Notamacropus eugenii: one gene and its partner. The protein of the gene in region 2 interacts with the protein of the main gene of each other region in a biochemical or structural test. Links are inferred from orthologs where the notes say so. Each region holds a gene or a part of one and is shown on either strand. Other genes may lie near its edges.

Region 1 (11,952 bases), on a different chromosome or scaffold from region 2:
TTCAACTGTCCCTCCAAATCCAGGGTTCTTTGGGTATACCATGCTATTTCATCAGGATTTATGAGTAATTGGGGAGGAGTTATAGAACAAAACAGCTTGATGAGGGACCTAAAAAGTGGTCTGAAGATGTAGCAGCATTTTAGTGTTAAATCTGCATTCTTTCCTCTCCTTGAATGCATGAGAGAATTAATTTTTATTTCTCCCCTTCTCTTCCTTCATCCATTCAATAAGGTTAATTCTGGGCAGGCGCAGATACCAACCTCTCAGAAGTGGGATTTGTTGTTCCTCTGATATACTGGGAAAGCTAGGGATGGGAAGGGGAGGAGACTTTGGACAATCAAAGGGAAGCACTGGGGATCTAGGAACCTGGAGAGACTGAGGGAGGTAGTGGTAGGAGGGAGAGAAGAGCTCATTGTGGGAGGTGGGTGGACACCAAAGAGAACTTTTGCTTACTTTGAAGTTTTACCAAGGGTCCTGATTGTTTGCCTGCATGACTCTGAAACAAACACTTCTTTCTGGATACCTCTGGCACTCCAGGATGAGTTTGCTAATTCTTATATGACTTGCTAGGTTTCAGGGTCTCTGTCCTTCTATTGGAAAATATGTAAATATGCATTTACACTCAACATGTACTTGAGTGTCTACTCTGTGCCTAGTATTGTGACAGAAACACTTCATAAATTTTAAAATCAAGAGCTGGGCAGGATCTCAGAGACTATTATTTCTATCACATTAATGTTGCTGCCTCTTCTATCTTATTATCCCCATCTTCCAACTTATATAAGACATAGCTCTTATTGGCATGTACCTATGACATTCTAAATAGGAACCAATCTTGTGATGTTTGCATGTAGCCAATAATGGAGCACAAGCTCATTTGAATAAGCTACTCTTCAATGGTGAAGAACAACTATTTGATGCTCTGTGACTGCTTGGGGGGAAATTGGTTAGACCAGCTTTATACCTAGAGCTAATTAACTGGTTTAAACACAAGTGGGGCTCACAGTGCCCACTGAATCTGATCTCAGAAGTTCAAGTAGGTGCCTGGCTTCATTTCAAGCTACTCAACCTGTCATGTTATCATGTTAAAAGAAATTTGGTCCTACCTTCACAGGTTGGGAATTTCTGTGTCCACTGCCCCTGAGCCGTACACTCGAGCAGGGATGATCCTTTTGGCTCAAAGCCTTCCTCACAGCTGAAATTACAAACTGACTGGTAGGTAAAGTCTCCAGTGGGCGGATGGACACACTTCACAAAGCCATGGTGGGGCTGGCTGGGAGCATTACATTTCACTGCTGAAGCACACAGAAAAGCACACACACATCATTCCCATTAGCCTTCTCTTTGACCCCTTTAATAATACATTACAGAACCAACCCTTTCAATTGCCTCTTGATTTTAAGACATCTTACCTTGACACGTTGGTCTCTCCATGTCCCACTTCCCAGATGAGCTACAATGAAGCTTCTTGGATCCCTTTAGCTCAAATCCTGACTCACAGCCAAACACACAGGTTGTATTCCATGGAAAGATTCCAGAACTTTGGGAGCAATTCATGGATCCATGAGCAGGACTTGTCAGTGCATCACACTCCACCACTAAAAATGAGAAGTGAGACCATGAATTTGACAGAACAGCATAGTTCTTCTGTGTTGGACTTGGACAGTCCTACAAGTCCCTAAAATAAGAGTCTTGAGGACAGTACACTAAACCTTTCATATGTGATTTCTGATTATCTACATTGAGAATTATCAATTCAAAGTCCCTGTACTTTGCTAACATAAAGTGAACCTTGATTTTCTCAAGCCCAAAAGGAACTGTAAGAGAAGGAATTCTAAGTCAAATTGAAATTATCCCTGAGGCAAACCAATAAATGTGTAGAAATATTGGCTTTGTTTTTAAGCTAACATTTTATATCAGTCTAAAGATGAAATAATCTATTCCCAGTATGGAGGAGTAGGTTGGATACGTAACGAAAGGAAGTGACTGGAGAAGAAGTGTTGTTTTATTTCTGTTGTTGTCCCAAATATTCTACAACCACAACATGGGGATCATTCCTATTCAAATAGAATACAGTACACCTTTCAAAAGCCAAAGGCCTATCATGCATTACTCTGACTCCTGAGTTGACTGTATATATCTGAAGACAGAGTGAGCTATGCTCTTAAAGGGTTTCTAAAATAATCTAGGTGGGATAAGAAACAGGGATTCTGGAATGAGGCCCCAAACTTTCTATACCAAAGAAAAGTGAAATACCTTTACAAGTAGGGCTAGGTCTGCTCCATTTTCCAGAAGAAGTACACTGCACAGAGTTAGCATTGGTTGGAACATAGCCTTCTTCACAACTGACAGAGCAGGAAGAATTGAAATACCCCACTGGATCACTGCAAACCAGAACGCCATGCTCAGGATTGGCCCGAGATTCACAGGTCACAACTATGATAGAAAACAAAATCAGTCTGACTCATTCTTCGTTTTGATATAAGAGGGAAAGTGATATGATGGAGACCACGCTCCAAAGACAGGAAGGAGGATGAGGTGAGGTTGAAAGAATTGAGCACATGGATTAGGCAGAGCCAGTCTTACCATGCTCACACTGAGACCCGGTGAACCCTGGGTAGCACTGACAAGTAAAGCTGTTGATGGTCTCCACACACTCCCCATGGCCATTGCAGGAGTTGCTGTTACAGGAGGCTGAAACCAAAAGGATCATCACTGCTGCTGCCATAGGTCCTTCATATGAATCATCAGAATGCTTGCTAAAGGAGGGCTGTTTAGAGGACCCAAATCCTGTTGGCCTGCTGGGCTTTTTATTTTAGCTTAAGGGCCTGTCAAGAGGGCAGACTGACATTTTTTAGGTTCCCCTTTCCCGAATCTCATTTTTAATATATTTCAGACCAAAAAAATCACATAAGGTGGTGTTCACTATTGCAGAGGACCATTTTCCAAAACGAAGGTACTATATTTCCTCACTGGCTCTGAACATTGATACTCAATGCACCAGATACACACATATCTCCACCTCAGTGACCATCACTTCATACATAAACACACACATACACACACATGCACACACTGTGGTGATGATAGTGATAATGAAAGCAATGAGGAAGAGGAGGACACTAGCTTGCATTTCTATAGTGCATTAAGGTGTGCAAAGATCAAATATAATCTCATTTTATCCTCTCAACAAACCTGAGAAGTGCTATTATTGGAGGTCCTATTTTTATCCCCATTTTTCAGAGGAAGAAACAGGATGAGAGAGGTGACTTGCCCAGGGTCACATAGCTAGGAAGTGCCTGAAGCCATATTTGAATTCAGGTCTTCTTAATAGTAGGGCCACCACTCCATCCAATGCACCACCTAAGACTTAGAGTTACAAATAGATTTACATACATTAGCTCATTCTTTCAGCATAGGAAACTTTTGAGGGAGGTACTTCAGGGTCAAATGAAATGATATGTATAAGGTACTTTGCAAACCTTAAAACTCTTTAGAATTTTTAATAGCTATTATTCAAGTATTACTCTCATTCACTCTACCAATATCTCTTCCAACTAATTCATCATACCTGTATAACACAAGGCCAGCTTCTCTTTTGTGCACCTTTCATCATTCCACATGCCTGAGTCTTTGCTCCTCTTGATATAGATCTCCACGCAGTCCTCATTATTTTGCTTATTGTTGGGTTCACCAGGAGCCCAGTTCATGGCCTCTTCGGTCAGTGACTTCTGTGTCCCTACCCAGGTCCAGACACCATTGATTTTTCTGATTCCAATCCAGTAGTAACTTGGGGAGAATCTTAGTGTTCTATTCAGGTATTCAATTTCATGCTTGTTTTGAATGGCAACCAGGTCTGTATACCTTTCCTGGCAATATTTCCTTGCCATTTCATAAGTCATATTCACTTCAGAAGAGGCATACAGCCAAGCATCACTCCTTTCAAACAGAAGAAATGCTAGAAAAAAGAAATGGTATAGTTTTATCCTGTGAGTATACTGTTCTTTTGACAGATATTTTCCCTCATTTTATAGGTTTGTTTGGGGTTTTTGCCCTTGAAATAATACCCATATGGTTGGGCAAGCTTAGGAATCAATATGGAATTTTCCTGGGGATTTTGGGGTGACCTGAACTTTTGTTACCCTTCTAGGAGTGGAAAAGAGATTAGCAAAGACTCCTCATTCCTAGAAATTCTGCCCAGTGCCTTGGCACCAGGCAATTTTTCTCAGCTTCCCACTGTAATATCATTTGATCTAATATCACATTTTCCCAGAACCAAGTAATGACATTACAGAGGGTATCCCTATACAAAAGGAGTTTTTTTATCCCATTTTAATTAGTGATAACAGTTTTCTCAAGCAAATATGATCTTACCAAAGATGAGACCAGGTAGAAATGACAAGACAGTCATCATTTTGGAAACCATCCTTTTCTTCACAGTATTAGCGTTGGAATAATTCTTTGGGAGAAAAAGAAAAGAAAAGAATTTATTTTTAAAATGAAATTGACATTTTAAAATCTCTTTAAGGTTTCTAATGTGATTTACATATATAATCCCATGTGCTTCTCACAGAAACCCTCTAGGGGTAGATTCTGTTTTTAATCACTATTTTATGGGTGAGGAAACTGAGACTCCTGGGGGCTTGTCCAGGGTCACACAGCTAATAAGTATTTGAGGCAGGGTTCCAATCCAGCCTGACTCCAAGTCCAGCACTCCATCCACTACCTTATGCTATCCCATTATCCTTAATATTATAAAAGAATATGCCTCTTGAAAATATGGTAAGATGTTGACTCTAAAGAACCACGAAACCATGAGATTGATAGACATTGCTTTACATGTTATTCTTCAAAGGCAAAGCCTTAAAGCCTCCAACAAGTTATCAAAAACTGGATTCTGAATTTACATCCAGCACCAGAGAGAAAGCTGGACTTTTAGCTTCTCTGAAAATTACACAAATCCGCCTGGGAGAAGTTGGCCGATTACCTTCTCCATCCAGAATCTTGGTCCTATAATGAATCCTGAACAGGGTTTAGTTAATAGTCAATTGTACTTACCGTTCCACAATCTGGTAATCTCCTCTCCCGATTTCCTCAAGTGGTGTCTTGCTGTTCACACTGAGCTAGCTCTTTCCCACTCTGGCTGTAGCCTGTCAAGAACTGTAGCACACCCTGGGCTTGCGAGTCCTTTTAAAGGCAGCACTTCCTATGGAATTCCATGACCCAATGGTTGAATAATAGGAGGATGTCACCAAGTTAGAAAGTGGGGAATTTCCCAAGAAAGAAAGATTCCGGGGATTGTCCACAATATTACCAATCCCGTGCTGATAATAAACTCCTTCCCCAAGGTTTGCCACCCCTCCTACATTCTACCATTCCTTTGATGTGTTTTATATATTCTATGATTTGCTATAGCCTAATAAGTAAGTTCTAGAATTAGAAATAACACACAGCCATTCTTCCTAAACACAGGCAAATACAGACCAGTTTGGGACTGACAAATGGGACTGACCAGCTGAGATTTTCGAATCAGCAGCTATCTCTACTTTGCCAACAAAATCTACTTTTCTTTGTCTACCTCACCAATTCAAGGGTTTTTAAGGAGCAGTGTCTTTCTGAAAACTCTAAAAAGTGCATATCTAATGTATGTCTATAAACAAGCACTAAAACGGATAACAAAAAACAGTACTCTTTTATTATATGTGTATAATAAAGGCAAGTACAAAAAAAAATCTTACAAAACAGAAGACAGCATCAAAAAGTGTCCTATATCCAGACTCTTACAAGCATTATACATCTAAACACACTTCCAGGTACTCTCCATTCCTGTTCTTTGATTTTCAGCATGTTGACGCTAGTAACAGCTGACATCTGTGCCACTCTTTAAAGTTTGCAAGGAACTTCATCAGTATATTTTAATTAGATCCTCACAATAACCCACTAAGGGAACTATCACAGGTATTAATTATCCCTATCATACAGATGAGAAAACTGAGGCTCACAGACATAGAGTAACTTGCTTATGGTCACAAAGTTTAAAAAAAAATGCTAGAAGTGGGATTCACACCCAAGTCTCTACCCCTGTCAGGTCCTGAGCTGGTTCTAATATCCCATCTGTCTTTCTTTTTCAAAGTTTTATTTTTAATTTGTGAAATAACATAGAGTAATTTTTAAAAAGATGATTGCGCATGAAGCTGCAAATCTGCTATGTACAATTTACTATTCCTTTCAAGTGTACAACAAAATTATCATGAAAATTTCTATTTTTCTTCCCTCCCCCCTGAAATGGCTACCACTAGACACAAATAGAGGTGTATATGTGTATATATATATATATACATATATATATATATATACATATATATATACATATATATATATATATATATACATATATATATATATAAAAATGTGCGTGTGTGTATGCATTTATATGTAAAATTATTCTATACATACTTCTATTTATCAGTTCTTCCTCTGGATCCATACAGCATTTTTCTTCATATGTTCTTTATAGTTCATTTATGGATTTATAGTAAACATAACTTATTCACCCAAAATAATTCTTAAAACAATATTTCTGTTACTTGGTTCTAATTATTTTGTTCTTTATTATTTCGTGCAAGTCTTTCCATGTTTTTCTAAAATCATTGCGCTCATCATCTTTTAGCACAGTAGTATTTCATCTCAATCATATGCCACAGCTTGTTTAGCCACTCCCCAATTGATGGGTATCCCTGTAATTTCCAGTTCTTTGTCACCACAAAGAGAACTGATATAAACATTTTCTATCTTTCTAATGAGTAAATGTCTATTCTTTCCCCTTTGTTGCAACCCTAATTGAGACAATATAGGTACAGGGAGCTATGAGAGGGCTATGTTCAGAGCTCAGTGATTAAATCAGGAATGGTTTCTCAAGATCTCAGGTGTCTTTCCTAGTCCCCAGGCTAGGGGACCCTAAGAAACAAAGTAGTGGTTATGGAGTAAGAGGATCTTGGCTCAAATCCTGGCTTTGCAACTTACAACCTAGGTGACCTTGAGCAAGGCACCTGATATCTCTGAGCCTCAGTTTCCTTATCTGTAAAAGTAAAGGAGCTAAATTAGATGCACTCTGTAGTCTCTTCTAGCCCTTAATCTATGATTCTATAAACCTATGTGGCCTTCAAAAAATTGATTAACCTCATCTATAAAATTAGGAAGTGAGACTAGTTGACCTTTGAGATCCTTCTTAGCTGCAAACCTATGAATGATCCTATGGTACTTTTTGTAATGAGGGAACCTTAAGGTATCAGCTGCTTTAGCTACTAGGTTACAGCAGAGGGCACCATGGCACAGCAGGGGCTACAGTGGATAGAAAGTGACTTATGGGGAGAAGTTTAAAAACAAAGGAATTTTCAGGGTAAGAGATTGTATTCATAGGGATCATGAATCATTCAGGGATGACTTTTATATGGACTTGGATTTAGTGTTAGATGTTATTGTCGTATCTGCCAGATCAGATGCTGCTTGAAGCTATATATCAGCTACTCAAAGCTTGTATTTGCCAAAAGGAAGGAAAGTAAGCATTAAATTTGACCAAAATCTAAGGTCAGAATAGTTCCCAGAACCTGCAGGTCACCTTGCATCAAGATGCCACCAATGCCTACCTTGAATTAGTAGAAAATCTGGTAGGGAATAAATAGTTCCCTTCGACTTTCTGATTTAATATTAACTCCCAGTTGTTTTAGTGTTTCTACTCCTTCTTTTGAAGGAAGGTAGAAATGACCCCATCTTTCCATCAATGAGAATATTTAGCTTCCTTCAAATCCCAACCCATTGTCACTTCTCAGGAGAAGCCTTGGATTTATCTGTTTAAATGTTTTATTCTTCAGTAGAACGCCCTCCTTGAGGTCAAGAACTGCTTTTCATTTTCTCTTTGTTTACGCAGTGTCTAACTTAAAGGGAATTATAAGGAAAATGACACACAAAAAGTGAACTGCCCTGCCATTCACTTATTAACTCGGTAAATGTTTGTTAACATAGAGGTAAGAACTGGACTTGTAATTTCATTCACCCAGTTGAGAAAATTTGTGTCAATGTAGTTCAGCACCTTGATCTGCAACCTAGATAGTTCTGGAGTACATAGAAGTTAAATGCCCTACCTGGATCACACAGCCAGAATTTGTCACAGGTACGACTTGAACTCAGGTCTTTTTATACTTCAGACATTGTCTTTTCTTTATATATGAAACGTAAATTTTTTGTTCAGTCATTTCAATTGTGTCCAACTCTTCATGTCACCATTTGATATTTTCTTGGCAAAGATAGTAGAGTGGTTTGTCATTTTTTTCTCCAACTTAGTTTATAGATAAGGAAACTGAGGTACACAAGGTTAAGTGACTTGCCCAGGGTCACACAGCTAAGAAGTGTCTGAGGCTAGATTTAAATTCACAAGGGTGAGTCTTCCTGACTATAGGACTTTACTGGGGCAGCTCCTATGTTGTAGAGGTATCCATTACTTTAGGCAGTCCAGTAGTGCTGAAACATAAGCTGGAAGTCTCAAGATAGGGGTCTGCCAGGGAGAAAGAAAGGGAAGTCATTAAAATGGTGAGACTGAGAATCATAAAGCAGCCTAAAAAAAAGAGTATTCGAGGAAATTCCACTGAAAGAAGAGGAGAGGAGACCCAAGTTGTATGCTGCTTCCTCTAAGAGAGTACAAAATCCTTGGTGGCAGGGACTGCTTCATTTTTCACTTTGCAGCTCCAGCAGATGCTTACCTAAGTGCTTGTTGGTTGATTGTGAAAGGAATGAATAAATGAATGAGTGAATAAATGAACGTGATGATACCGGGTACCTTCTCTAACCATATTCCTGCAAACAGTGATAACTTGGTAATTCGTGTTCATTACTTCCTGTGACTGCTGAAAGTAGCACTGTCACTTGCCTTCTGATGGCTCACTATCTCTTAGGGAAAATAAGTGTTTTGAATCTTCACAATGGTTTATAAGAGGCAAGGAATTATTTTTCCAGCAAAAAGAAAAGGGAATTATAAGGCAAATGACACACAAAAAGTGAAGTGGCCTGCCATTCACTTATCACGTGGCATGTAGATTCTTTTCATCTCTTCCCTGACACTGTAAAACTCTGGAATTCCCCCCAATACTCTTTTTTTTTAGGCTGCCTTATGATTCTCAGTCTCACCATTTTAATGACTTTCCTTTCTTTCTCCCTGGCAGACCCTTATCTTGAGACTTCCTCCTTATGTTTCAGCTCTACTGGACTGCCTAAAGTAGTGGATACATCTACAACATAGGAGTTGCCCCAGTAAATTCCCACAACGGAAGGTGTTTCCACATAAGGAAGGTTGGTTAATTTACAGGACTTTTCCTGAATGCTTCCAGATTGTCGTCTTTGAGGGGGAAAAAATCCCTGTGGCTGAGATCAGTCCCCTGTTTGTTTTCCTTGGCTGTTTTGCCTGCCTGTTTTCAGGCCAGAGAATAGCTCCTCCTGTTCTATTAATATCTCATTTCTAGATATTTCATGAGAAAAAAAATAAACCTTTCCCGTTAAGTTACTTTTAACCCTACTGTGTCTTTAATTAATCACAAAGAAAACAAGTAATTAAAAGAAAGTGCTAAAGAAAGAAAGGCAGCCCTACTGTAAGTGGTAGTGTCAAGTGCAAGGAGCAAAAGCCAACTTTTGTAAGCCTTCACGTGAGTGATAATGATGACTGTGGTCACCTTGGCTATTTGCTTCTCTTTGACCATATAACAGTCATTCTAATTCATGACCTCATCACTCCTCACCTGACTATTCAACGGATTCCTTATTAGTCTCTCTGCCTCCATTTTCTCCCTTTTCCAATCCGTCCTCCATACAGTTGCCAAATCAATACTCTTAAAAAATAGAATCAAACATGTAGGCCTTCTACTCAAAATTTTTCACTGATTTTCTTTGGTCTCTAGTATATAATACAAACTTCTCAGTAAAATGTTTAAAGTCATCCACAGTTTGGCTCCCATTCACTTTTTCAAACTTATTTCTTATTATTCACCTTTATGGAAGTCTTCTTTCTAGGTAGGGGCAGCTAGGTGACGCAGTGGATAAAGCACCAGTGCAGGAATCAGGAGTACCTGAGTTCAAATCTCACCTCAGACACTTGACACTCATTAGCTCTGTGACCTTGGGCAAGTCATTTAATCCCAATTGCCTCATCCTGAGTCATCTCCAGTCATCCTGATGAATGTCTGGTCACTGGATTCAGATGTTCTGGAAGAGAAGTGAGGCTGGTGACCTGCACAGCCCTCCCTCACTCAAAACAAAGTCAAGTGCAAGCCATGTCATCATTTCTCTGATGGCATGGTCCTCTTCAGCAACGAAGGACAAACACACTTTCTAGGCAAACCAACTATTAGTTAGTTATTCCCTAGACACAGAATTCCATCTCCCACTTCTATGCCTTTGTACCAGTGGTTCTCTCATCACCTCTCCCTCACAAAAATCTTAGTTTCCCTTAAAACAGAGCTCGGGTGCCAACTTCTACATTATTACTGCTTTCTCCCTCCTGCAAATACTTTGTACAGTTTTTAGCAGACTTCATATTTATTTACACAGGTCCATATTGTATGTCCCCATAAAATGCAAGTTTCCAAAAGAATAGTCATGTAGGCTCCTTGAAGTTAGCAACTACATAATTTTGTCTTTGTATCCTGAGCATTTCTCACAGTGCTTTGAACTGATACCACTTATATAACAGCCAACTTTTAGTGCTCGCAAAGGGTTGGATGCATTTTATATCATTTGATTCTCACAGCAGCACTGTGAGGTGGGTACTGTCATTATCTCCATTTTACACAGAATAAAACTAAGGCTGAGAGAAATTAAATGACTTGCCCAGGATCATACAACTATGAACTGTCTGAGGCATGATTTGAACTCAGGGCTTCTTGGTTACAAGTCCAGCTCTGTGCCAACCAGTTACACAGTAGGCAGTTAATAAATGAGTGTTTAGTTGAATTGAATCATGATCTTAGTCATTAAATAATGAAAGTATTATCTCCAAATCTCTGAGCACACTGATTAGTAAGGGGCAGCATGATACAATAGTCCTGCTTCCATCAAAAATTTATTGTTTTATCTTAACCAAATATCTTCACCTCTCTGAGTCTCAGTTTGTATAAAATGCATAAAATGAGTTGTTTGGATTAGATGATCTCTTGGGTTATTCCATCTCCAACATTCTAAGAGTCTATGACCTTCCTTTTAAGTTGGATCAATTATATCATATCTCTCCTGATAAATATTTGACCTTTGATCTCTGGTCCAGAGATGTCTATTATTCTCTAGAATGAAGCATTTAGGCTGAATATTAATATAAAATTATGCAACTAAGTAATAGGAATAATATCTAATAATAATAAAATTATAAAATATAATAATAATATCTAACATTTGTATAGTGCTCATTATGTACCAAGACAACAACCCTTCGAGGTAGGTGCAATTATTATTTGCATTTCATAGATGAGGAAACTGAGGCAGACAGAGGTTAAGTGATTTGCCCAGGTTCACAAGCTATTAGATTAGATACTCGTAGCTGGTGCATTTTCTTTTTAGCAAAACAGTTAAGTGTATTAATCAAGGTCTTAGTGTCATTAGTGGAAGCTGCTTTGAACAGTAAGATCCAACCCTTTTAATGGATACCCCCTCTCCCAACACCCTTAAGTATAATAAGTATATTGCAAGGAAATGTCCAGACACAAATTATATGTAGAAGTACTCAGTCTTATGAGATTCAGTGGCTTAACACAGTTTTGGTGTATTCATCTCTCTCTAGCAGGTAGCAGGATAAGGCAGCTGGATGTAATGGATAGAGCTTTAAATATATAGCCAGAAAAACCTGACTGACACTTTACTAGCTGTGTGTTCATGAGCAGCTCACTTAACCTTTCAAAACCTCTGATTTTTTGTCTC
Region 2 (11,566 bases):
GGTGGTAGGTGTCAGAGGTAGGACTGGAACCCAGATCTTTAAGACCCCATCGCCAGGACACCAAGCTATTTCTCTCATGCTGCTGTAGGGATTATTTTTTAGGCAGCAGAAAGAAGGAAATTCTACAATTTTTAAGTTTTGTGTTGGATGTCAGGAAGAACTGTAATTCAAATTCTGTCTCAGACACTTATTAAGCCCCTTGGGCGTACAGCAGTTACACTCCAAGTGCTGGGCCTCAAGTCAGGAAGACCCAAGTTCAAATCCTACCTCAGGCACTTATTAGCTGGGTGACCCTGGGCAACTCACCCCACCTTTATTTACATCTGTTTCCTCTTCTTTAAACAGAGATAATAACAGCACCCACCTCCCAGGGTAGTCACGAGGTTTAAACGAGATAATATTTGTAAAGCAAACAGCACAGTGCCCAGAATGTAGTAAATGTTTATTTTTTTCATCATGAGCAAATCCCTTACCTCTTAGAGTCTCAGTTTCCTCATCTATAAAAATGGAAAGCAATACCTGTAAAAACTACCTCAAAGAGGCGTGGTGAGCTGCAAATGAAGTAAAGCACTTTGCAAACTTTAAACTGCCATGCAAATGCCAGCTATGGTTATTATTACAGACTGCTGATCCTGGTGGGGAAGACCAGGCAGACAAGGATTCTCTAGCTGCCTGTGACCCAACTGTTAAAGGCCCCATGTATGTCCCTCCAGCAATTGGCCCACAATTGGTCCAGCTGCTTCCCACATCCCAGCTGTCTCATCTTCCAGTTCTCTTTGGAGAAGCAGAGGTTGAAAAAGCAGCTCTATTTTATGTAAATTAAGCAGATGTAGAAGGAGTCTGACAGAGTCTTCTTGTTTTGCGCATATTCTTGGTTTAGGACTAATCCATTAATTTATGTTCAATTCTAGGTGAAACAGTGGAGAGAGCACCTGACTGTCAGGAGATCTGGGTTCAAGTCCCAGCTGTCACAAACATCTAAGAAGGGTACTATTGTTTTCAGGGCAATAGGAATATGAAAATAAAACAAAAAACAAAAAAAAAAAACAGTCCGGGCACCAGGGAGTGTGCATTCTTCAGGAGCCTGATAAAACCTGCGAATCAATAAAGCAAAATTATCTGGACAGGGGCAGAGAACAATGAGCCAGATGAGGAAAGGATTTGAGAAAGGAGAAGTCACAAATCTTAGTGTGGAAGGAAGCTAAGGACAGAAAAGGCAGTGGTGACAAAAGCTGCCTCTGGGCATTCCAGACCTAGGAGGCGTTGGTGCAAAAGGATGGAGGTGGAAACCAATTCTGTGGTGACACTGCACAAGTCTGCCTCTCTAGCCTCAACTGATCATCTGCAAAGTGGGATGGCACCTGTGATCTCTAGCTCATCAGTCTATGAGGAAAAGTGCTTTGTAAACCTTAAGGCAGCATATACAGGTGAACTGTGATTATTATAAACTACTGAATATGCACTCTGAACACAGTTCTTGGGAACTAGACAACAGGCTGCAGAGGCCCTGAACCTTAGAATGAACTAAAGACCACAAGAGAGTTAGAACAAAGGCATCACACTTTCAGCCAGGCAAAAATCACCCAGTTAAAGGAAATATTTAAGAAAATAAAAACACAATACAACATAATGTGAATTTGTGGTTTGAACTAAGTTTGTCCTGACTCCAGGCCTGGTGCTCTATGTACTGTGGCACCCCTAGCCAGCTGCCCAACTAACTTCTCAGAGAGAAACTCTTTCCTGTGCAAGAAGGACTCAATCTCTAATGCCCTCTCATATATAGCAGGAAGGAAATTTGCACTTTATTCTTTATGACCATGCTTTGAAAAGAAGTCTTCACTTTCCAAAGCTACCAATCAGTCATCACTGTCATTATCATTATCATTTAACTGACTGACCCTTTGGTGAATTAAACTGCTTTAAAAATATTACTCATCTGAGAAAGTCTTAAAAAGATTCCCACTTAACACACTTTTAAAACTTTCAAAACAGAAGCTATGAAAAAGCCATAAACTAAACAATTCTTACTGAACATTAAGCACAGCTTCAAACTGTTCATGTACAGATTTCAAAATGTACTGCCACACACATCACCAGGCAGTTTTAAGTAACTGCGTGGACGCACAGAAGTAATTAATACATGGTATTAATCATTACCTTTAAGTATATCTAGAAATATAAACAACATAAATTTTAACATCCCACTAGGAAAAAGACAAACTAAAAAACTGTTTAAACTTAAGACTTAACCGGACAACTTATCATGCTTAGAATCAAAAGAAAACAGTGTGCATTCTTTTAGATTTAAATACTCTATGGATTCAGCACCTCTACCTCATAATTCTCATAAGAATTAAAAAAAAAACTTCCTCTAGATTTAAGTTCAAAGGAATTAAAAATGCTATCAGGTTCTTTGCCAAATGTTCCTATTCACAAAAAAATCTCCATTTCACTCTGTTCATAATTTTACATTTCATCTAAAGTACATGTCCTTAACCAAGTTGCTATCTTTCAGATGTATCGACCAGAGTTGATAAATTCCAGAGTCACATTAAATAAGATTCCATGTTGAAGACTTCAAAAGAAAACAGAAGGCAGGCTGTTCATGTTTTCTCAACTAAAGCAGCTTCAATTTAGAAGACATCTATTTCCACACTATTTCATGGATCCTCATCAGTCAATCAACAGCACTTACTAAGCATCTTCTGTGTATAAAGTGCTGTTCTCCATGGTCTAGTGAATTATTATAAATGAAAGCTTTATCTAGTAACTTCCTTTGGACAGCTCATACCACTTCTGTAAGAGGAACAAAATGAAGTCACATCCAACCTTTTTTTGTCCTGTCACCAAATGAGCTGATAGCCTACCAGGGACCAGGAATCCTTGTCTGGGATTCTTTCCACTTAAAGCAGGATTTCACTTACTGTGCCTCTTTAACAGATCCTATAATTAGTCCCATATAAATAGCCTGCCCTCCACCAGCACGGCTAACAGGGATTATAACAGCGACTGCTGGGTTTTAAACATTCCTACTGCATATCACGTAAAGCAGTATAGACACTGCTGGCCTGGGAGGCCCCAAACTTCAGCTCAAACACCCCCCTCTCCCTGTCAGCAGTGGGATCACCACAGCCTCACGCAACTCTAAGACGGTCAAAGTTATAAACAGACTGCAATCTGCTTTGGTGGAGGAAGTTCCCACACCAACCAAACCACAAGTCCTGGCAATACTGGCCATGTACGGGATTAGCACGCCCAGGGTGGGGAGGAAGATCTAAAGCTAGACAGAAAGGGTCTGCCTTCCCCGAGAGCACATACACACAAAATCCCCTGACCACGCGGAGCAGCAACAGCAAATACCATTAAGCGAGATGGAAATCGCAGAGTGCAGATCAGCTTGAGGAAAACCGGCTACACATCTCATGGCTAACGAAAAATTCCAAGAATCCTAAGGGAGCAGACCAGAGGATCAATGAAAATCTCAAGTCCATTGAATTGCTCCACCAGTCTCCAAACCTCTGCAGCTCCATTACTCGCTCGCAGCGACTCTAAACAAAAACAATCCCCGAAAAGCGAAAGGGGAAAAAAAATCACAGCAAATGCCAAACGTTACCAAGATCAAAGGAAAACATGTGCAATGTATTCTGTAACCGTCAAAGTGCTACATAAAAGGAAACTTTTTTATCCTTCTTATAAAACTCTAAACTTAAACTGTTGGAGAAAGACAAAATTTATCTAGGAATAAATTTCCTTTCTCTAAAGCTGTTGGTCAAAAAAACCCGTGTTTTTTTAAGCTGGACCTGTGATTTCGTTTGTGTCTGCATCCTCCCCTCCCAGAAAAGGGCACCTCCTCCGTAAGGCAGGGCACCCACGGGTCACAGTCCCAGCACTGCCCCAGGCACAGAGGAGTCAGTCAGGGGCCTCTCCTCCGGATAGCGCACAGTAGGGGATCAGACACCCCCATTTATCGGGGCGCGCTCTCCTGCCTCCCCACCGGCCCCGACCCAAGCTAGCGCCCCTGCTCCCGGGGCCTCCAGTAAACAGTCACTGCTAAGCGCATCGTGACCTCTGCAGGAAAGAGGAAACTCTCCGTACGGGCTGATTCAATCGCACCGATCACGGGCCGCCCGGCCATCGCCAAGCGACCGTCGGACAGCCAGAACCACATGTGGACGCCAGAGAGGGAGGCCGCCCCAAGATTACCGGGGGTCGACGGGCACCCTCCGAGGCGAACCCCACGTGCTTCCCTTTTAGGGGCAGCACAAAGTTACCGTGCTCGTGGGCAGCGCACCCAGAGCCCTTCCACACAATGCTCACCCCCAACGCGCCCCGGAACCAAGTGCCCCGGGCCCTGCCTTCGCCGCCGGCTGGGATGGGTCCCGGGCAAAGGCGCCCACCCCGCCGGCCTCGGTGTCCCCACCGCACCGGCTACGGGGTCCCGGCCCAGCCCCCGCACCGCGCGCACCAATGAGCGGCCGCGCCGCTTCCCGGGGTCTCCCCCGAGCTGTCACGGGGGAGGGGGCGCGGAGGAGCGGACGAGGCCCCCCGCCCGGGCCCGGGGCACAGGCAGGCGGCCGGCGGACGCGCGTGGGCCCGGGCCCGGCCCCCCGCCCCTCCCCGCGGGCGGGCGCTCACCTCCCGCACGTCCTGCAGACACTCGAGCACCGCCAGGTTGTTGCTCCAGGTGTGCTTGGGGCACACCCGGGTCACGTCCTCCCGACACGTCTCCTCCTCCGCCAGCTTCCAGCCGCCGCCGGGCCCCGCGCCGCCCCGCCGGGCCGGCCCCGCTCCGGCAGGGAAGAACTGCTGCTGCGCCTGCTGGGGCTGGGGCGGCTGCGGCGCCTGCGGCTGCTGGGGCGGCTGCTGAGCGTGCGCCTGAGCCGGCTGCTCCGGGGCCTCGGCGTAGGGCCTGTGGCCCAGCCCCGGAGGCTGGTGGAGGACTGCCAGGTTCTGGGGGTTCGGGGGGTTCTGGAGCCGCTGGGCCCGGGCCGCCAAGAGCAGAAGCAGCGGCAGAGCCGCGGACAAGGCGAACATCCTCCGTACACGTCCACACGCCGCCATCTTGGGTCCGCGGCAGCCTCGACGTACCGGGCGCCGCCACGTATTTAAATGAGGGGCGGAGCCACGGGGGGGGCCGTCGCCCCCGGCGAATGGGGGGCGGCCGAGCGGCGCGGGGGAAAGGTTACGGGGAGAAAGGGTGATGCCACATTCAAGATGGCGGCGCCTTAAGCGGACCTAGAGAACAGCGGGTTCTTCTCAAGTTTTCCTTTAATAAACTGAGGAAAGGAAGGAAAGAGAAGGAATGCCGAGTCAGGGTTGTGGTGGCTTCCCTCCGGCTTACTCCTTTGACTGGCGTCACTCGGTGCCTCTCCCAAGATGGCTGCCACGTCGCGCAGCGGCTTGAGTCAACATTCCAAAAAAAACTTTATGTGTGCATCTACGAACATGACAACCTAGGTCCTCCTGCCCTGCGATGGGGGTGGGGGGCAGAGAACCTCCCTGGACTCTCCCGCAAGCTGCCCCGCCCCCACTCCAAGGCACCTGCTCCAAGCGCTTTCGCTTCTGGAGGCTCCTGGGTCTCCTGCATCGTGGTGGTGCTGCTAAAAGTCTTAACAAGTGGCTTTTCTTTGGGGAGGGGTGGACTCGTTTTTGTCTTATTTTATTACTATTCATTTAAGTTCATTCTGCTTTATTTGCATTTTCTCCATCCCTTTCTTAAGTCTAGACAACACACAAAACCAGTAAATGACAATCCCCACTCTGAACATTTAACAATCGGCTCTTGCTCAGAAAACCCCAGAATCTAGACTTCCAGGCTCTTACAATAGCTAGCTTTCGTAGCCCTCTCTAAGATATTTACAAATATCTCACCTGACCCTGGCATCCATCCTGAGAGGCAGGTACTATGACTATCCCCATTTTACTGGGGAGGAAACTGAGGCACAGAAAAGGAAGTGACTTGACCAGGGTCCAACCGATGGTAAGATTTGGGAAATTATTTTAATTCAAGGTTTTCCAGCTCCCGAGTTCAGCTTTGTTCACTGCCAATCTGAGAGAAAATGCTGCTTTGGTCAGGACTCAAGTCCCTTCTAAAAGGCAAAGAGAAGAAAGGAAACGTGAATCAGTCCATTTCCCAATTTATCAGAAGTTTGGGTGAAAGAGATGGAATTTCAGTTGTCTACTCTCTATCTGTTTGCGGGGTTAGGAAACCAGGACGTTAGCCAGAATCTAGAAGGGTCTGCCCCCAACGAAGAGGAAAGGTAGCAAGATGTATAAAGTGTTTGGAAAATTACATATAGATCCATAGACATATAGATATATAGATATATGGTTGGTTGTCCTTCGTTCTCAGCGAGGCCATGATAAAGTGAAATTTCAGTGTGTACAACTGTGGCTGATCAGACCAATATGAGCTCAGAATGCTCTACCACAGGTTGAGCACAGACAATCCGTGTGAACATTTGGGGTGGTTACTCCAAATTTGTGCATCCTACGTTTCCTTTGTGCTGTCTCAATTCTGCTTTGCTCATAGAGCACAGCACCCTTTCTGATGTGGGCACGCCATGCTGAGTAGTCTCCCATGTTGCACAGTCAAATCCAAAGTTCTTGAGAGAGACCTTGAGAGAGTCCTTGTATCGTTTCTTCTGAACACCATATGATCGCCTGCCCCATGCGCGTTCTCCATAAAATAGTCTTTTGGCAAGCATACATTTTGCATTTGAATAACGTGGCCAGCCCATCAGAGTTGTGCTCTTTGAGGTATGGTTTGAGTGCTTGGCAGTTCAGCTAGAGCAAGGACTTCAGTGTCAGGTACCTTATCCTGCCAGGTGAGCCTCAGAATCTTCCTAAGACAGTTCAAATGGAAGCGATTCAGTTTCCTGGCATGGCACTGGTAGACTGTTCATGTTTCACAGGCATATAACAATGAGGTCAACACAACAGCTCTGTAGACCTTCAGTTTGGTAGTCAGTCTAATACCTCTTCTCTCCCAAACACTGAGCTAGCCCTGGCAATGCATGCATCAACTTCATTATCAATGTGTACATCCCTGGAAAGTACACTACCAAGGTAAGTGGTGATATATGATATCTATAAAGATAATTATAGATAGATATAGATATCTGGATAATGTTTTTTACCTATTTTTTTAATGCCATCTAAGATTTTGTGCTCCACATTCTAAACAGGTGAGATTCAAGACTTTGAACTTCAGTTTTGTCCTGCACCCATCAAGTGCTCAGTAAATAGACAATAGTATCAGGACTAAGGCTGTCCCTCATTTAACCAGTTAGGTAACTGAGACACAGAGAGGCTAATGGGCTTTGCCAGATCATGGAGTCACACTACCAGACAGTCAGTGACCAAACTGGAATAGGGAATCCAAGCCTCCTAAATTCCTAATCTCTTGACTTCTTCCATTTTATCACTTTTTCTGTCTCACCAGTTGGTTAATTAACATTATTTTGAATTTATTCATTTTTATTCTCTTTTTCTTCTTTTATATTTCCAATGCTTAAAGCAGTGCCTGGCACATAATAAGCTCTTTATCCATTGATCATTAACTCATTGTTCAAGAGACATTTCTTAAGTATTTACTATTGATGAGGCTGGGTGCTTTGTGCTGGGGAAGAAACCAAAGGAAAACATAGTCCAGACCCTCTACAAACTTATAATCTAATTGGGAAAGAATAAAATTGGTGGAAGTTTTGTTTACAGCTATAACTCCTTCCCCCAGACTCTGACCTGGGGCTACCAGCCACATCAGGGCTTCTCTGCCTTCTTGTCCCAAGTCCTTCTTCATCCTTTTCTCCCCAGTCTGTGGTAAGGGAGGTCATTCATTGGCCTGGAGAATGGTTAGAGCTGGCCTTTTTGTACATGCCTTCGAGATTATTGTTAGTCCTTCGTTCTTGAAGAGGACCATGACATGGGGGAGGTAATGCCAGGGCTTGCAAGTGAATTGGATTGAAGTGGGGCAGGGCTGGGCAACGTCCCCTGCCTCACTCTATCCTCCAGAGTCATTGGAGTCCGGTGGCAGGATATAGATCAGGACAACTGGAGAAGGCACCAGATGTAGTGGAAGACCTTGGTCTTAGAATGTTCAGGCTAAACGAGGCTTTAGATATCGACCAGCCCAACTTACTTTACAGTAAAGGAAACTGAGGATCAGGAAGGGAAAGCCCTTTTTGCTTGAGAACATGTCAAAAGCAGCCTCTGCTCTTTGCTCCATACCACTTTCTCTCCACGGTCATTATAAGCCTCACAATTCTAGAAGAGGATGGTGGTGACATTTTTTTGTTTGAGACTCCGGCTGGTAGGTTGATAAGGAGCTAAATCAAACAGCCTCTCAACAAGTTGGTAGCCTGCTCCAATCTGTTATTTTCCTCTCTTCTTTGTTGGTCCTGCTAAGATAGGAAAGTTCAGACAGCTTCTTGTTCTTATCTGCAGTGAAGATCATTGTCTTGGGTATATTTCCTTACTGCAGGCTGATAACCAACCTCTAGGAAGATAAGTGACCCAGGATGTTATGCTGAGTCTGTCCACAATCTCTCCACATCTGCTTGTTCATGCACACCCAGGGCAGTCATTGGAAATACCAGTCCCTGGGTAACAGTCTCAAGGACTTTTCGTAATCTTCACAGCCCTGGGGAGCCAGACAAGTCAATGACATTTATTTCTGACCATTGGACTCTGAGGTTTTCAACTGACTAACCTCAGTCAAACTTGTGTCCTCTCTGCTGGCAGTGACCCAGAAGAACTGCAGAACTCTATGAACAGAAATGGTAGGTAACCACAGTCTTAGGATTTAGAGCCAGAAGGGAACATTAGAAATCGTTGAGACCTAGACAGAGGCTCAGAGAGCCAGAGGTGATGCTGGGAGGGACTTGAGAGGTCATCCAATCCAATCCCCTTATTTTACAGAGAAGCCAGTGAGGCTGTAACTTACCCAGGAAGATACAGGTAAGCACCAGAGGAATAATTTGAATCTGGGTCAGAACCAGTGTTCTTTTCAACCCCTAAATTTTACAGTGGAGGAAAAAGAAGTCCAGAAGTTGTAGTTTTGCCCAGATGGTGGAGATAATAAGTAGCAGAGTTGAGATTTGAATCCAAGACCTCTGACCCTGAATCCATTGATGGAGAACTCCACATCTGGGAGTAAAGCATGTAAGACTCAGGTTTGTGACCATTCAAAATGTACTGAAAAGAAGTCAAACCTCCTGAGTAGTATGTTGGTAGTTGGCTCCTGCCCCACAGTGATTGACTGGCTCGATTCTTGCTCAATGCATTGTAGTTCTGCCTTTCCAAATACTGGCCTTGGAACTGCCCAATAATAAAACAACTGACATTACCAGAAATGCCTAGGGAATGTTGGTGCATTGAGTTTTCCCGTTAACTGAGGATGCCTCCAGAAACCCTCTGTGTTCTAACCTGTGTTGTTGAATTCCCTTCTACGATGCCAAGTCATTTTTGTGTCTCAGCAAAACTCAGTGTTTTGAACATGAGTGAAGTTCTGTTTTCTGAAGGAGAATCTTGTAGGACCTCAGTCTTCATGAGGAAAGGGGATAAAGATGTAAGAAACTGGGCTGAATCAGCACTGAACTCAGTGTATTCCCGGAAAGGTATTTTTGTTTATTTGTTTTTAATTACTCACTGACCTCAGATTGTTTCCTGGACAAAATAAATATTTGTTGGATGAATGAATGGCATTTCCTACTTTCCCCTGAAGAGAAGAAGCCAAAAAAAAATCCATTTAATTTCGGACCCCAATTAATTGGCTCTTGAGGAGACTTTATATTCTTACTCATATTATGGATCCCAGTCAGACAGTCAGTCAGTTAACAAGCATTTACTAAGGGACTACAATGTGCCAGGAGCCCTGGGAACACACAGAAAAGCAAAAACTAGTTCATACTCTCAAGGAGCCCTCTGTCTAATAGGAGAAAAAAATGTGCCAAAGACCATGTACAAGCAAGAGATTGAAAGGATAAATTAGAAGTAATCTCAGAAGGAAGGCACTGGATTTTTTTTTAAGCTTTTACAAAGAAAAATTCACTTCAAAAAATATAATCACAAATATATAAACTTATCCCCCCAACATATGGGAGGCATAATTCCCTCTATGCCCCCATACCACCTTGGTCTTGGGGGTGGAAAGGAGATCAGGTTAAGAGTGTAGAGCATGGTCCCTGTTCCAAATCCAAACCCCACTCATCCCCACCAGGTCCAGGTATCTGGCCATGGTGACCTTGAGCCAGGATTGCAGAAGGCATGCAGAGAAGCCTAGAGAAACCATGGTACCTGGGAAGTCACTAAATAAGGGGAATTGGGAAAGGCTTTTTACAAAAGGTGGCATTTTAGGTGAGAAATGAAAGAAACCCAAAGACTGAAATGAACAGGGAGAGAATCCCAGGTATGGGGGACCAACCAGTGAAAATCCTAGGAGTTGGAAATTAAACTCTTGTTAATTGAAGAGTTTTCCAGGGAACTGGATGCTAATGTTCATTCAAATGGAGTAAATCTGATGTTAATATATGTGTGTTTATGTATGTATGTATGTACGTATATGTATATATCATTGGAAGGGGGGAGCAAACTCATTTTAGGAAGTGATTTATTGGCTCAGTGTGGACCTGGTTTTAAAGGCAATTCAAATGACAAACATCTTTATCCACAGGAACCACGATACTACCTGATTCTAGTGCTTCTCAGCAATAATAATGGTTGACATTTTTATAACATCATACAGTTAACAAAGTTCTGTCTGTCTCCACAATATGCCTATGAATTAGTTCCTGGGGACTTAGGAAACAAATTTTAGTTTCAGATCTACCATTTCTAGTCTCTCCATTTTACAGAGAGGGAAACTGAGTCCCCATAAAGTAAACAGTTTTGTTCAAGGTCATGCAGTGAGTCTTGTGCTGGTATCTAGGACTAGACTCAGATCCCTGACTTCTCAGGGATTGTTTACTTAGCTATGGGAGCACTGAAATCCCCCAACTGAGGACCTGCATTTCCCCTGAGTCCCCAAGCCAGGTAATCAGATATTGGCATGGCATTTACTAATGCACTGTTATTTCCTCCCTTTGACTCCAATCAGGAGTGACTCACTCTTTGATGGGAAAGAAAGAGCAGTCTGTCTGGCTGATGATGTCAACTGTGCCCTTGCAGCGGAGCTCAACGGAAGCTGTTGGCCACAGACAACTCCCAAGGCTCAAGCCCTGTCTTGGATGATGGGGGCAAAGGTGCAGGCAGCCTCTGAGGAGCTTTGCAGACTTAGAATTCTGGATAAGATGGTGCAAGGCAGCTCCAAGAAGCATAGGGAGTGTGCTACCTTGGGAAGTAGTAAGTTCCTCTTTCCTGAAGGACTTTGGGTGACCACCTGTCAGGATATCAGAGAGATGACTGCTGCTCCATTTGGGCCAGAGGGCTTCTGAGGACCCTGCTTGGCTCTGAGATTCTATAATTCTGTGAAAATGGCTGTACTCACAAAGACAGCTTTTAGATATTAAGGGCTCCGTCTGCAGCATTCTAATGCCATTGTCTTTACCTTTCTTTCTTTTAAGCTTTC

Evidence for each region.
Region 1: the proteins of GLG1 (region 2) and SELE form a complex in vitro, tested with the Homo sapiens proteins (2 studies listed by BioGRID and IntAct). The link is inferred for Notamacropus eugenii from reciprocal best matches to the Homo sapiens genes GLG1 and SELE.

Annotation. Positions count from the first base shown.
Region 1 is NC_092873.1:476,660,247-476,672,198, reverse strand, and holds the start of SELE (E-selectin), read right to left. Parts: upstream 5,172-11,952; 5' UTR 5,059-5,171; intron 4,460-5,058; 5' UTR 4,427-4,459; coding exon 4,375-4,426; intron 3,959-4,374; coding exon 3,572-3,958; intron 2,695-3,571; coding exon 2,587-2,694; intron 2,437-2,586; coding exon 2,257-2,436; intron 1,599-2,256; coding exon 1,413-1,598; intron 1,296-1,412; coding exon 1,107-1,295; intron 1-1,106. UniProt on the Homo sapiens protein: Cell-surface glycoprotein having a role in immunoadhesion. Mediates in the adhesion of blood neutrophils in cytokine-activated endothelium through interaction with SELPLG/PSGL1. May have a role in capillary morphogenesis.
Region 2 is NC_092872.1:713,602,977-713,614,542, reverse strand, and holds the start of GLG1 (Golgi apparatus protein 1), read right to left. Parts: upstream 5,092-11,566; 5' UTR 5,062-5,091; coding exon 4,636-5,061; intron 1-4,635. UniProt on the Homo sapiens protein: Binds fibroblast growth factor and E-selectin (cell-adhesion lectin on endothelial cells mediating the binding of neutrophils).